Oryctolagus cuniculus: one gene and its partner. The main gene of each other region encodes a partner of the protein of the gene in region 2 in a complex. Links are inferred from orthologs where the notes say so. Each region holds a gene or a part of one and is shown on either strand. Other genes may lie near its edges.

Region 1 (6,742 bases), about 46 Mb from region 2:
GGTTGAAGGACGCTCCTCTCTCCACTAAGGACAGCTGGAAGAGCTGAGGAAGGGGCTGAGGACTGCCTGGGGTGGCGAGGGAGAGGAGGAGGAGGAGGAGGAGCTGAGTCACACTTGAAGGGGACCCTGGCACCCTGTGTTGCTAAGGGGTAATTATATTTGCATATAGCCTGATGACGTCACATGCCTCTTTTGTTTATAAACAACTTTGTAAGAATAAAATCCTCACATGAACAAGTGGCTGCATCGGTGTGGGGTGAGAAGTCATTACTGGGGCAGAAGTGCTGAGGGGCTGGGCAGAAGGGTGGTGGCTCCAACACCCTTAACTCCGCAGGGTAGGATCTGGGCTCCTGGTAGGTTTGTCCTAAAATCCTGACAGGAGTCTACCGCATTCAGTTTCAGGGTGGGTTCTCCGCAGATCAGAAAGGCAAATGGGGTCAAAAACTGGCCGTGAAGCAGCCCTGAGAAACATTTTTCATTTCCAATTCTATTTATACCTCAGGGATACTGGGGGAGGAGCAGTTGGTAAGACTCGTAGCCATTTTAATTGCTAGACTTCTGTGGCGCCCCCGGAGTACGCTTCACGTCTCCAGCAGCCTGCTGCTTTCCTTCAGGTACTCGAGACCCAGAATCAGGAAAATCGGCTGTCGCAGCCAGGCTCCCACTTCCCCCACTAAGCTCCCACCTCCCGCGAGGAGGCAGCACAGGGTCAGCCAGACTGCAGAAGTCGCAGGGGTTCTAGGAAGACTGGCCTCCACCGCTACCTTAAGGGAAGCTAAGAGTGACCACGGTTGCCCAAGGCTTTCTCCCCCGAGGAAGAGCACCCCCAGGAACACAGTGCTGAGGCCCGCAAGGAAGAACCGACAGTGGTAAGGTCCCTCACGTAGCAGAGCAGAGGTGCCCAGCGTCTCCTCAAGCTGGATGTTGGCCTTAGCATAGAGGCCTCCGTTTCTTCCCTGCTTGCCTCGCTACCAACACTAGGAAGCAGAGTAAGTGGAGATCAGGAAGGAGGAAGTAAGACCAAAGCCAAGCTTTCCACCGGTAGCAGAAGTAAGGTCTGGAATTTGGCTTAGGCCTCTTCTGGGTATTTCAGATTTTTAAAAAGGAAAGCATTTCAGCGACACTGGTCTAGTTCTTAGGGCATCTCAAAGCTTCAGTTTTTACAATTACTACTGTACAGGACATCAAATGAAACCTTGTTTGGGTCACTAAGGGAAGATGTGGCCAGGAATTCACATTCAGCAAAAAGGTGGGTCCAGAATCTGGCTCCAGGCCTAGAAGTGCCCAATCAGTAAAGGCAATGGAGTGACCAGGAGTTTAGACTGAGCCAGTCCCTGTGCCCCATTCCAAGAGGACTAAGGCTGGCCTGTCAGTTATACCAAAGAGGGGAACTGTGACAGCCCTGCCTAGATTCAGGCCCCAAGTCACAACTGAATCCCAAAGGCGGCTTCCAGGCAGCACAGCACTGTGGCAGTCAAAGCAGGAGGTGCCGAGGCCGGTAAAAGAGCGCAGAGAGCCCTCAGAGCCTTTCCTGAGCAGCAGCCGTTTCCTCAGGCACGTCACATGCCTCGTGTTTATAAACACACTTGTAAGAATAACCTCAACTGAGCAAGTGGCTGCATCGAGTGAACTGGGGCCACAAGTGCTGGGGGCTGGGCGCTCGTCTCACCAAGGCAAAGAGCTGACGGAAGTGAGGAGAAGCAAGCAGGTGATCAATTGAAGCTGAGCCCCAGGAGGCCCAGAGCTCCTGACAGAGCAGCAGGGGCGACCTCACGGTCCCGTGAGAAACCTCGTCTGATACCTTGTTCTACCTACGGCTTAGGCCGACCTGCGTGCTCGACTATTTCCCAGTATTCTTGGGTGGCTGAGCCTGGGTTTTTCTTTTTCTTCCGTCTAGGCTTCGTTCTATTTTCTTAATCCAAAGTGCACTCCCATTTATGGCAGCCCTTTCTTGTTTTCCTGGCGCTCCTGGTGTCAGGGACCATAAAACCCAGATTCCAGGCAGATCCCGAGGCCTCCCAAGGGTCTGGTGGTGTTAAGCAGCCGGGCAGACGTCCCCCTCGGAGGTCTGTGTGGCAGCACCTCACCTGGACTGTGGGACTGTCTTATCCACGAACAGGAAGATCGCCTTTTCAGAAGGGAGCTGGATCCTCTTCCTGATGATCCACATGAACTGAGCCACAGTAATGTCAGATGGAACCAGGTACTTCCGTTTGTCAATGTCGACAATCTGGGAGCCTGAGACTTTTTCCACAATCACCTGGGAAAGTAAAGAGAAGTCAAGACTGGGTCTCTTCCCGTGAGGCTCTTCCCCCACACTGGCGGGGCACTGATGGGCAGAGTGTGGGCAAGGAGCTGGGTGGGAAACAGCCGAGCATGGCCAGACCCCGCCGGCTCCAGCAGCCACACGATCTGGACGTCAGGAACTGCTACACATCTATTATGGGGAAACAGTAAGTGCTTCTCTGTGGTCAATTAAGCCTCTCATCCTGATCGCGGCATGCCGAAGAATCAGCTACCGAGGCTTTCAACATCTCATCTGGGCAGATCTGAGAATGCCTGGTGGGTGTTTCCTGTACAGCCGCTTCCTCCAGGACCCCAGAGTGGACCCACCTCCACGCTGCAGAACTGAGGGCCCACGGACACAGCCGGCAAGCACGGGCGGGCCGCTGGGCTGCCTGGCAGGCTCCTCGGGTGGCCTGTCGCTTCTCTGAACAGCTTTCGGGTCTGTGCCCTCCCCAGGGGAACCTCTCCAAACCAACACGGACCACAAACTACAGGCGCGAATGCATCACTGACTAAAAGGAGACCCGGGAGAAGGGACTCCCCGCAGCTCTGCAGCATCCTCGGTCAGGCAAGACGACATGGTCCCCGTGCACAAGAGGAACGAGAAGTCCGCGAGCCCGACACGCAGAGTGAAAGACTGCACGTCCCGAAACCTAAGGGCCGCTTCCAGGACCACGGTGAGTCGCTCCGCCACCGTTCCCAAAAGTGGCAGTGACCTGTTGCCCTGTCCTAGAACATCGTTCCTTACGTAATTGGCCAGGGAGCCCTGGGGCTGTAGACAGCTCGCTGGCCCAGATCGGGAGATTCAGCACTGAGGCACCTGAACAGCACCAGCCCCAGCCCCTCGACCCCGGCCGGGGGACCGCCGGCCACGCCAAGCGGGGTCCGGAACCTCAGCTCACCCAGTGTCGCACGGCTGGGCCCCGTCGCCGCTCCCGGGCAGGGGACAGGGGAGCCAGCAGGGCGAGGGGGCGGGGAGTCCCACACTCACCGGAACCCGGTCGGGGTATTTCGCTCGGATCTTCGCGGATTCCACGCATCTGTGTTCTGAGAGAGAAACACACCGGGCTGACGGCGGCGCCTGCCCGCCGGGCCGGTGCCGGGCCCCAGGCCCTCGCGGTCCTCCTCCCCCGGCGACCTGCGCAAGCCCCGGCCCTCGTCCGGTGTCTCCGCGACCGCGGTCCTCTGCCCCCGGGCTCCCGGAGGAGGGGCCGCAGAGGGCCGCACCGGGCCAGGGGGCGGCTGCCCACGACGGCCCGGGCCCTCGGCGACCCGAGCCCGGAGCGCAGCATCCGCCCCGCCCGACCCGGCCCAGGGCGGCCCGAGTGGGGGAGGGGGCCCACCCGCCGCCCCCACTCCCCGCGGGCCGGCCGGCCGGCGGCCGAGAGCTTACCGAGCGAGTGGTCCTCCTTGAACATCCACTTCATGGCGGCGGCAGCGAGGGGACGCAGCCGGCTCTCGGGAGCCGCGGAGTTCAGCGAACCGACCACAACAACAACGACGGCAGCGACTACACGGCAGGCGGGACTTCCGGCTGCCGGAGCCTAGCAACTGGCAGGGGCGGGGCTTCCGGCGCCGCCCGCAGGGTCGCCGCTCCAGGGGGCGGGGCCGCACTAGGGGCGCAGGGGGCGATCGGGCTGTGGCGCTGGTGGCAGGGGTGTCTTGAGGGCTACTGGCTACTGGGTCGGGGGAGGACTGCTGGAGGACCTGTGACGGGGGTGGGGCGCCAGGGCGTTGGTGACTGATACGGAAGACTTTTGGGGGCGTGGCTGAGAGGCTAGGGCTCTTAGGGTTGTTCATAGGGGAAGTCTGGGACGGTGCTGACCAGAAGGGTATTTAGGAATATGAATGACAGAAGAGTGGTCTCTTGTTAGGGCGTTGACAGTTTGGGGGATATTTGCAGCGGTGAGGGGTGGGGGACTCAGCATAGGGGAGTGTTGGCAGTTTGAGGGCTGTGTGTGGGGAGGGGAGCTGATGACGTCCAGGGGGTCTTGCACTGAGGTCAGCCATGCTAGGTTACCTTGAATCCAGAAATCATACAGGAATCCCATTTCCTTCCTTGATCCACGAATATACGTGTGGATGCATATGGAGGGTGTCACAAATGCTTGTGTGACATCAGCGGCCACACAGCGATCCCTTAACCTTCACCCAGCAGGGAAGTTAGAGGTGACTGCCAGGCCGGAATTCCTCTGAGTGCTGGTCACGGGGCAGGTTTCCTTGTTGGGCAGTGGGAGTGGCTTAGCAGGCACAGCCGGGCCCTCTGTGTCACCTGCCTGCACGTAGCCTTGAGGTTCTCCACTCAGCGATGTGATTCCTTTCTTCCAAGCAGAGTCACCAGGGCAGGGTGTCCTGGGTCACCATCTGTTTATTAGCTGGTGAACATGTGACCGGAACATTCATCTAATTGGGCACATGACCCCTGCTACATGCTTGTGATTCTGCTGCATCCAAAAGGCCTGTGTGTTTGAATAATGTCATCCATCACTTCCTACAGATCGAATTCCCCACGGATGCTGTGGAATGCAGGGTTCAGTCTACAAGTATTTCTGTGCATTTACGGTTGCGTGTCTCAACAGCCAGAAGAGGGTTTGTTAACGAAGTGGAAAATCCTTTGAGTTTCATACTTAGAAACTGGTGCTGCCGCTGCAGCTCAATAGGCTAATCCTCCATCTAGCGGCGCCGGCACACCGGGTTCTAGTCCCAGTCGGGGCGCCAGATTCTGTCCCGGTTGCCCCTCTTCCAGGCCAGCTCTCTGCTGTGGCCCGGGAGTGCAGTGGAGGATGGCCCAAGTGCTTGGGCCCTGCACCCCATGGGAGACCAGGAGAAGCACCTGGCTCCTGCCATCAGATCAGCGCGGTGCGCCGGTCGCAGCACGCCGGCCGCGGCGGCCATTGGAGGGTGAACCAACGGCAAAGGAAGACCTTTCTCTCTGTCTCTCTCTCTCTATCCACTCTGCCTGTCAAAAAAAAAAAAAGAAAAAAAAGAAAAGAAAAGAAAAGAAAAGAAAAGAAAGAAAGAAAGAAAGAAAGAAACTGGTGTTGTGGTACACAAGCACACTCACTGCCCCAGGCGCAAGGGACAGAGCGGTGAACAGACAACACCACTGCTCCCATGGAGGCTGCATTCCCATGAGACAAGGCCAAAAATAAATATGTGATATGCTAATAAGTGCTGGTTAGAAGAACAAAATGAAGTAGATGACTAGACGGTGATGGTGGGATAGAGTGCTGACTAAAAACCCTGCCGCAAGGCAGGCTCTGTGACACAGGAGTTAAAGCCCTGGCCTGCTGTGCCGGCATCCCATATGGTTGCCGGTTCGAGTCCCAGCTGCTGCACTTCTAATCCATCTCCCTGCTAATGTACCTGGGAAAGCAATGGAGGGCTATGTGTGCCCCTAAAAACCCTGCCACTGAAAGTAAGTAAACAATGAGGATTGTATTAGGAGATGGGATCAAAGTCATCTAGAACAAAACTGTTGAACTTTGAATTTCTTGCAAAGAACTTTGGATTTTATATACATTTAGATGAGCAGTGGAGGATTTTAAGTACAGGCATAATACAATCTTCCTTTTTCAATGACCAGGCTAGCTTCTGTGTTAACAGTGGACTATGGGGGCGTAAAGGTGGAAGCAGGGAAATAGTTAAGAGGCTATTGTGAAAATCCAGGTGAAAGATCATGTTGGATTAAACCAAGATGGTATCTGGGGACATGCTGGGAAGCACTTGTGCTCTGGATATATGTTGAAGGTAGAGCTGACAAATTTTCTGACAGATTGGTTGTGAGATGTGAGGGATAAGTTAAAGTCAAGGTTTTTTCAAGGATGGAATGGCCATTTACTGAAATAGGGTGGAGCTAGCATGCAGGATTAGAATCAAGAGTTTGGTTTTATTTCTTTTTTTTTTTTAAAGATTAATTTATTTATTTGAAAGGCAGAGTTACAGAGGCAGAGAGAGAGAGACAGAGAGACAGAGACAGAGAGAGACAGAGAGAGGTCTTCCAGATGGCTGCAACCACCAGAGCTGCGCTGATCAGAAGCCAGGAGCCAGGAGCTTCTTCCAGTCTCCCACATAGGTGGCAGGGGCCCAAAAATTTGGGCCATCTTTGGCTTCTTTTCCCAGGCCATTAGCAGGGACCTGGATCAGAACTGGAGCAGTCAGGAATCAAACCAAACCCCTACGGATGCCAGCATCACAGGCGGTGGCTTTTCCCACTATGTCACAATGCCAGCCCCAAAAGTTTGGTTTTAGATGTATTAAATATGAGAAACCCAAGAGACACATCCAAGTGAAGCTGAAGAATGGGTGAATGGCCCTAGGAAAGAAGTATCTAAAGCTACTGAACTGGATGAAATTAGCTACATGAATGAAAGTAGCTATTTTGCAGATAAAAAACTGAACACTGAAGTCAGTAAATCAGTGGAGGAGTTAGAAGTTGGACTCAAGACCTCTGTTT
Region 2 (6,998 bases):
GACCATCCGCAGCCTGGGGTGGCAGCTGCCCCTGCCGCCGGTCAGGCCTGCACTGGGCCTTCCGGGAGAGCTGAAGACAGGATCGCAACAGAAGGAAACACAACAGCCGGCGTCTCTGTTGGACTCCAAGCCAGTTTCCCTCCAGCGCTCGGCCAGCTCTGCCCTGAGCGCCCCCTCCCGGCCCTGAGTGTGCTGGGGGGATGGTGGGTTTCTTGTCCAAAGGCCGGAGCTGCCCTGCGCAGACGTCTTCCTCTGGCGCCTGTTTTTAGAGGCTGCGCCTGCTAGCTTGCTCACGCACAGAAAACACTCCGTGACGAGAAGCGCTCACAGAATTATTTTAAGGAGCCCTAAGCTGTCTCCGGCTGGTGCCACTTCAACGCCGGGGCCCCTCTGAGTGGGGAGAGACAAGGCCTCCACTGCAGGCGCCACCCCCGCAATGCCTCGGGGTGAGCTCTCAGCGTCGCCTCCCCTCCTCAAGAGGGGCTCGCCCAGTAGCGTCGCCTCCCTTCCCCGCCCCCATCCAGGCACAGATCCAAGGCACGGTGCCCTGACAGCCCATGGCATCCATCTGGGGAGAATTAAAGGTGATTACGCAATCTGCAGCTAGCTCTTTAATTGGGAATGAGGGAGATAAAAATAAAATTTCCCTCTTGCTCATTTTTTAAAAACAAAAGCTCTCAACGATGATCTGATCTCACGGCTCCCTACGGGCCCCACGTCCTCCACAGCGCAGAATCTTCCAGGTCCTGTGCGTCACGAGCCCTCGCCTTCCTGGGGAGGGACGCTTAGCCGCCCAGCCCCCCCTGGGGACCTCCACCCCCCACCTTAGATGGGCCCCACCAGCCCTAGCGCCCCCATCGCCGCGGGGAGGGCTCAGGCTGCACTCAGAGCTCCCCCCGAGCGTGCCGGATGTAGTGCTGGTGCAGCCCTGCCTCCTGGGCAAAATCCTGGCCACACTCGGTGCAGGCGAAGGTGCGGGCCTCGTGCACCTGCCGGTGTCTCCGCAGAGAGCCGGCCTGCGCGAAGGCCTTGCCGCAGTCGGGACACGCGAAGCGGGCCTGCGCGGCGGCGGCGGCGGCGGGTGCACCTGCAGGGGGCGCTCGCGCGGCGGGGCCGTGGCTCCGCTGGTGGGCGATCAGGGCCTCGGAGGAGAGGAAGGCGCGGGCGCAGGTGAAGCAGACGAAGAGCGCCCCCTGCAGCTTCTGGGCCACGAAGTCGGCGGGGTGCTCCCGCTTCAGGTGGCGCTCCTGGAACTTGGAGTCGGCGAAGGTGATGAGGCAGCGGCTGCACTGCGGGGCCTCCAGGGGGCCTGCGCGAGGCGGAGAGGCGGGGGTCGCCCACCGGGGGTCTCCAGGCCTCCCCCAAGCCCCAGACCCACACCCACGACGCCCATGGCGGGCTGGACGGGACCGTTGAGGGCCTGCCTTATTATGGACGAGTGGACTCAGGCCCACCGAGGTCACCGGACCCGGAGGTGACCCCGAGAGTCGCGCTGCCCTCTGAGCCACGCTGCCCGGGACACTTCCTGGGCAGGTACGGGCGCTGGCCTGGCCGCGGGACCTCTCTGCCCCGGCTCTCACCCAAAGTCCTAGTGCCCACTTGGTGACGGAGTGAGGTCCCGGGGGTGAATGCATCCTGCCCGGGGGGCAGGGGCTGCTCCCCGTCAGCCTGCCTTGCTCCACTGGCCGGAGGCGGCCCCACGAAAGCCGTGCGCGGTGGGCAGCGGCAGCCGTGGGCCCAGGGGCACGGGGGCTCCAGTCTCGGGAAAAGTCAAGGGCAGGGCTGAGCTGAACCGTCCGCATCTCCCGCCGAGCCTCTCCTGCAAGCCACCCTGTCCCGGCTGCACCCTCCTCTCGCTTGTGCGGCCAGAGCAGGGCAGCTCAGGGGCCACCCCAGGCCCCGGACCCAGACACTGGACGGCGCCCCTGTACTCACAGATGCGGCCCCCCGGGCGGCCGGGACGCCTCTCGCTGGGCGACTCCTGCGGCTCCAAGGTCTCCTCAGGGTGCGGGTCCTCCATGGTGACCGCGGCCCCTCTGGTCAAGGGAGGAGCCCTTATGAGTGAGGAGTGAGGCCGCTCGGCTGTCCCCAGCCCTGGAGGGCCCGCCAATCCCACGACCTCCGCCATCGACAGAGCTGCTCCTCGCCCACCTTTGACCCCCCCCCCAAGATGTACCCATCTCCTTGAACTCTTTCTGATGGAGCCGTCCCCAGAGAAGCTCAAACCTAGAGGCTTGGACTCCCCGCGTCTGTGGCTCCCCTAAAGCCTGCTCGCTTGTGTGACCTGTGTTCCCGCTGCACCAAACCAACTCCCTGAACTCAGAGCGTGGGACCCTGGACTGCCATCAGCCTCAGCGGCACCCACCCCTTCAGCCTGCCTCTCCCCGGAAGACACGCTTCTCTGCCATCCTGGGGTGCTCCACCCAGAGTCCCCGCCGCCCGCACGCGCTGCCGGCCTCACTGTCCTGCAAGCACTGCCTTGGGCCCCCGGCTCCCCAGGCGGGTCGCCCCGGCCTCCGCTCCTCTCCGTACAGCAGAGGCTGCCTCGCGCTGTGCCTGTCACTGGCGCCCCACAGCGCCGCCACCCACAGGGAAGCGAGGTAGGGCCCGTGGCATTTCGGGGTTCCCGCAGCTTCCGAAGCTTCCGCCTGAGGTGCCTCTCGAAGCCGAGCCCGTAGTTGCCATCCGGCAGTAGTACAGTCGCCAACCCGGGCCTCCAAATAACGGGCAGTGGGGGAGCTCGGAGGTCCTTCCTTGCACTGCGACGCGTTATGATGACGTTGCGGCCGCCGTGCCGTACAAGCCGAAGCGCTACGCGCGAGTGCGCAGGCGCTGTGGCCCGCGCATTGTTAGGGGCGCTCGGGCAGTGCGGCCGTCCTGCGCAGGCGCCGCGAGGAAGGTCGAGTCTCTGCGGCCTGAGTGACGTCAGCGCAGGGCCTGGCGGACGCGTCCCGGCGCCCACGCCTCAGAGCCCAGCTCCGCAGGGGCGAGGCCGCCGCCAGCTGTGCTCACAGGTGCGTCGGCGCTCCCGGGCGGGTGATCCGGGAGGGAGGAGGGGTGAGGATAGAAAGGGGCAATGGCCGGAGAGGAGGCAGAGCGGGGGCCGGGGGGCCTGGGCGCTGGGAGGAGGGGCCCGGAGTCTGGGTGCCCCGTGACCGCGGCCGGCCGTCCCCCCTTGCCTTCCAGCCATGCCTCCGCCCAGGGGCGACGTGACCGCCCTGTTCCTGGGGCCCCCGGGGGCCGGCAAGTCCGCGCTCATCGGGGCGCTGTGCAGCAGTGTGGACCTGGTGGAAATCCCCGAGGGACGGCCGGACGCCGGCGTGCCCAGGCTGAGAGCCGCAGGCCCCGGGCTCTTCCTGGGCGAGCTGAGCTGCCCGCCCGCCGCGCCCGGGCCCTGGGCGGCCGAGGCCGACGTGCTGGTGCTGGTGCTGCCCGGAGCCGAGGGCAGTGGGGAGCCCTTGGCACCGGCGCTGGGCGAGGCGGCGCGGGCTGCCCTCGCCCGGGGAGCCCCGCTGCTGGCCGTGCGGGCGCTGCGTCCCGGGGCTTCGCAGAGTGACGCGCAGACGCGGGAGCAGACCGCTGCCCTGCTGGACCGCGCGGGGCTGGGGGCGGCCGCCCTGTTCGTGCTGCCTGCGGACTGGGCTGGCAGCGAGGACTGCGAGGAGCTGGAGCGCCTGTGGGGGGCGTTGCGGAGCCGGGCGGAGGCGCTGCAGAGGTGAGCGCCGGGTCTCAGGCTGGGCTGGGGAGGCCTGGGCCCCATTGTAGGTGTCCCACCCACCCCGTCACTGTGCCCTTTGAGGGTCGCAAGGCTCCTCCAGGCTCAGCCCCTCAGTGTGGGGGGGGAGGTCAGGAGGCTGCACCCCAAGTGAGCCCCCCGGGGCCAAGACCCCTGGAGGTCCTGACCCCCTCCCCAGTCACAAGCCCCCCTTCCTAGCGACAGTTCTGGGGGAGGTCAGATTTATCACCCAAACACTGCCCCCAGACCGGGGCTCTGTCTGGTGCAGCTTGTTGGTGAGCCCTATAGGCCCTGGTTCTCAAGTGGCCCCGGCCACACCTTCCCTGAGCTTGATTGATTTTTAAAGGTGTGTGTGTGTGTGTGTGTGTGTGCGCGTGCGTGCGCGCGCGTGCCTATTTGAAAGGCACAGAGAGAGAGAGAGCCAGGGAGACTTCTCCCGCCTGTCGGTCCACTTCCCAATGGTAGCAATAGCCAGGCTGTAGGTCCCCGACATGGCCGCAGGGGCCCAAGCACTCGGGCCATCTTCCACTGCTCTCCCTGGCGCATTAGCAGGGAGCTGGATCAGAAGCGGAGCAGCCAGGCTGCGAGGTGGGATGTGGGCCAGGTGTGTGTGTGTGTGTGTGTGTGTGTGTGTGTGTGTGTGTGGCTCGGTGCCACAGCGCCGCCCTGCTGGTGCCTGGTGCCCTCCCCGCTCCCCTTGTCCCGGCTCCTCTGGTTTCTGTGCTGGTTTGCTGGCGACCTCCCAGATTCCCTTGCCAAACAGGTCGTCCTAAGACAGCCTCAGCGGGGCGGGCCGGTGCCAGTGCCTGGGACTCGCTGTCCTTGGCGTCACCGGCCTCAGGTGGCCATGGCCGCACCTCCTGGGCCAGTTTCCCCTTAGGGTCAGGATTTTGCCTGTTGTGTGCCCCGCCCCCAGTGAGGTGTTGGAGCTTTGACCCGGTCTTGGGTTCTGTTTGAAACCTGAACTCCAGCCAACCAGACACCACCCAGGGCTGCTCGGAGCCCCTCCCACCATGGGTGCCCGCCCCTGCCACTGGACTTGTCCCCAACGCCGCCCTCTGCTTCTCCCCCCCACCCCCGCAGGCTCCTGCCAGCGGCCCAGGATGGCTTCGAGGTGCTGGGTGCCGCCGAGCTGGAGGCCGTGCGGGAGGCCTTCGAGAAGGGAGGCCTGGAGGCAGCTCTGTCGTGGGTGCGAGCAGGCCTGGAGCGCCTGGGCAGCGCACGGCTGGACCTGGCAGTGGCCGGCGCCGCAGGCGTGAGCCCCGTGCTGGACGCGCTCCTCGGACTGGATCCCGGCCCCCCAGGGGCAGTGCCCGCGCCCGCGCCCGCGCCCGCTGGGCCCGCCCCTTTCCCGGCCCCGGAGCGCCCCAACGTGGTGTTCTGGGTTGTGCCGCTGGACCCCGCTGGCGGCGCTGCCCTGGCCGCCACCACCCCTCACCCGACCCACTACGATGCCCTCATCCTGGTCACCTCGGGGGCCCCCACTGAGGAGGACTGGGCCCAGGTCCGGGCCTTGGTGCCACCGGACGCGGCGCTCGTCTGCGTGCGAACAGATGGCGAGGGCGAGGATCCGGAGGCCCCAGAAGAGGAGACGGTGGGGAAGCTGAGCGGCGGGGGCCGAGTGGAGCCTGCGCCGGGAGACGGGAGGGAGAAAGCGGGCCCCGGGCCGCAGGCAGCAAGCGCAGGGGAGGGCCCGGAGAGGGCCGGGAGCCGGCGTCCGCAGCAGGGCGGCGGGGATGCAGAGGGCTCGGCCGCCTTGAGCCCCGAAGATGAGACCTGGGAGGTGCTGGAGGAGACGCCGCCGCCCGTGTTCCCCCTGCGACCGGGCGGGCTCGCGGCACTGAGCGAGTGGCTGCAGCGCACGCTGCCCCCGGCCCAAGCGGGCGCACTCCTCCTGGCGCTGCCGCCCGCGTCCCCCGGCGCGGCCCGGAGGAAGGCGGCCGCGCTGCGGGCCGGGGCCTGGCGGCCGGCGCTGCTGGCCAGCCTAGCGGCGGCAGCGGCCCCAGTTCCAGGGCTGGGCTGGGCCTGCGACGTGGCGCTCCTGCGGGGTCAGCTGGCGGAGTGGAGGCGGGCGCTGGGGCTCGAACCGGCGGCGCTGGCAAGACGTGAGCGCGCCCTGGGCCTGGCTCCTGGAGAGCTGGCGGCGCGCACTCGCTTCCCGGGGCCGGTGACGCGCGCCGAGGTGGAAGCCAGGCTGGGCGCCTGGGCGGGCGAGGGCACTGCCGGGGGCGCGGCGCTGGGCGCGCTCTCCTTCCTGTGGCCCGCGGGGGGCGCAGCGGCGACGGGCGGCCTGGGCTACCGCGCGGCGCACGGCGTCCTCCTGCAGGCACTGGATGAGATGCAGGCAGATGCAGAGGCCGTGCTGGCGCCCCCTGAACCCTCGCCGTGAGGGTTGGGGGCCTGACTGGCTGCTGGCCCCCGAGAGACTTAGGATCTTAAGTCCCTGTTAGGGGGAAGGGGACGTGGGAGTCTGGGCTACTGGGGGTAACAGGGTGGGGGCAGGTGCTTGGAGGGGAGGAGAGACTGGGGGGCTCGGGGACTTGACCTCCAGGTTCCTGCGTGGGGAGGGGAGTTGGGGCCTGGACTCCCACGAGAGTATCCATCTTGTCTCCAAGGGAGCGGAAGCCGAGGTGGCTGAGCGTCTAGTCCTCCGGGGGAAGAAGCCGAGATTCCTGGTGCCTGGGGACCTGCACTGGCTCCCGTATGGGGAAGAGGGACCCGACCCCTTGGGCTCCACACCCCTCCCGGCAACAGTGGGCTTTGAGCCCTCACTGAGGGGAGGAGTCCTGTGAGCCTTGGACTCTAACTCCTGGGGGGTGGTGGGACCCCTCGGTGTCTTGGGGAATAGGGACTGGTCCAACACCTGCTCTCGGGGGTCTCAAATGTGGGAGGGGGCGACTGTCTGCACACGGCGGGCTCCGAGGGTCCCCAGAGACCAGGGATGAGGCTTGTGGACGTGGGAGGGCTGGGACCCGTTCACCGGGGTGCCCCCACGGGTCCCTCACGTAGTCGGATCCTGGTGGCGGCGGCTGTCTTGCAGTGGGACTGCTCTGTGTTGGAGGTGCTGAGTGAGGGGGGCTCTCTCGGGGGTGTCTCCCTTTGCCTCTCTTTCCGGTCTTTATTCTTTTTCAGCCTCGGTTTCTTCTGTCGCTAAACCTTAACCCTTTCTGACCTCGCTGTTTGTGCACCTGCCTTTTTGGAGAAGCAGCTGTGCTGCGGCACTGGTCCAGATGTGTGAGGGGGCGTCCTCGAGAGGTGCTGC

Evidence for each region. The genes of interacting proteins can lie anywhere in the genome.
Region 1: the proteins of IRGQ (region 2) and GABARAPL2 are in contact, whole or in part, in a crystal structure (PDB 8Q6Q), measured with the Homo sapiens proteins. The link is inferred for Oryctolagus cuniculus from reciprocal best matches to the Homo sapiens genes IRGQ and GABARAPL2. Residues at the interface, in NP_001007562.1 of Homo sapiens: Asp7, Thr9, Leu11, Pro47, Leu49, Phe57, Pro70, Trp71, Glu74, Pro181, Ala182, Gln183, Asp184, Gly185, Phe186, Glu187, Val188, Leu189; in NP_009216.1 of Homo sapiens: Ser10, Glu12, His13, Cys15, Val16, Glu17, Ala19, Lys20, Ile21, Ala23, Lys24, Tyr25, Arg28, Pro30, Lys46, Lys48, Tyr49, Leu50, Val51, Pro52, Phe60, Ile63, Arg67, Phe104.

Annotation. Positions count from the first base shown.
Region 1 is NC_091449.1:57,941,320-57,948,061, reverse strand, and holds the start of GABARAPL2 (gamma-aminobutyric acid receptor-associated protein-like 2), read right to left. Parts: upstream 3,990-6,742; 5' UTR 3,714-3,989; coding exon 3,680-3,713; intron 3,334-3,679; coding exon 3,278-3,333; intron 2,261-3,277; coding exon 2,088-2,260; intron 1-2,087. UniProt on the Homo sapiens protein: Ubiquitin-like modifier involved in intra-Golgi traffic. Modulates intra-Golgi transport through coupling between NSF activity and SNAREs activation. It first stimulates the ATPase activity of NSF which in turn stimulates the association with GOSR1.
Region 2 is NC_091449.1:12,314,461-12,321,458, forward strand, and holds IRGQ (immunity-related GTPase family Q protein), read left to right. Parts: upstream 1-2,875; 5' UTR 2,876-3,014; intron 3,015-3,186; 5' UTR 3,187-3,188; coding exon 3,189-3,715; intron 3,716-4,819; coding exon 4,820-6,125; 3' UTR 6,126-6,261; downstream 6,262-6,998. Other genes in the region: ZNF576 (zinc finger protein 576), read right to left, coding at 885-1,309, 1,936-2,020. UniProt on the Homo sapiens protein: Autophagy receptor that specifically promotes clearance of misfolded MHC class I molecules by targeting them to the lysosome for degradation.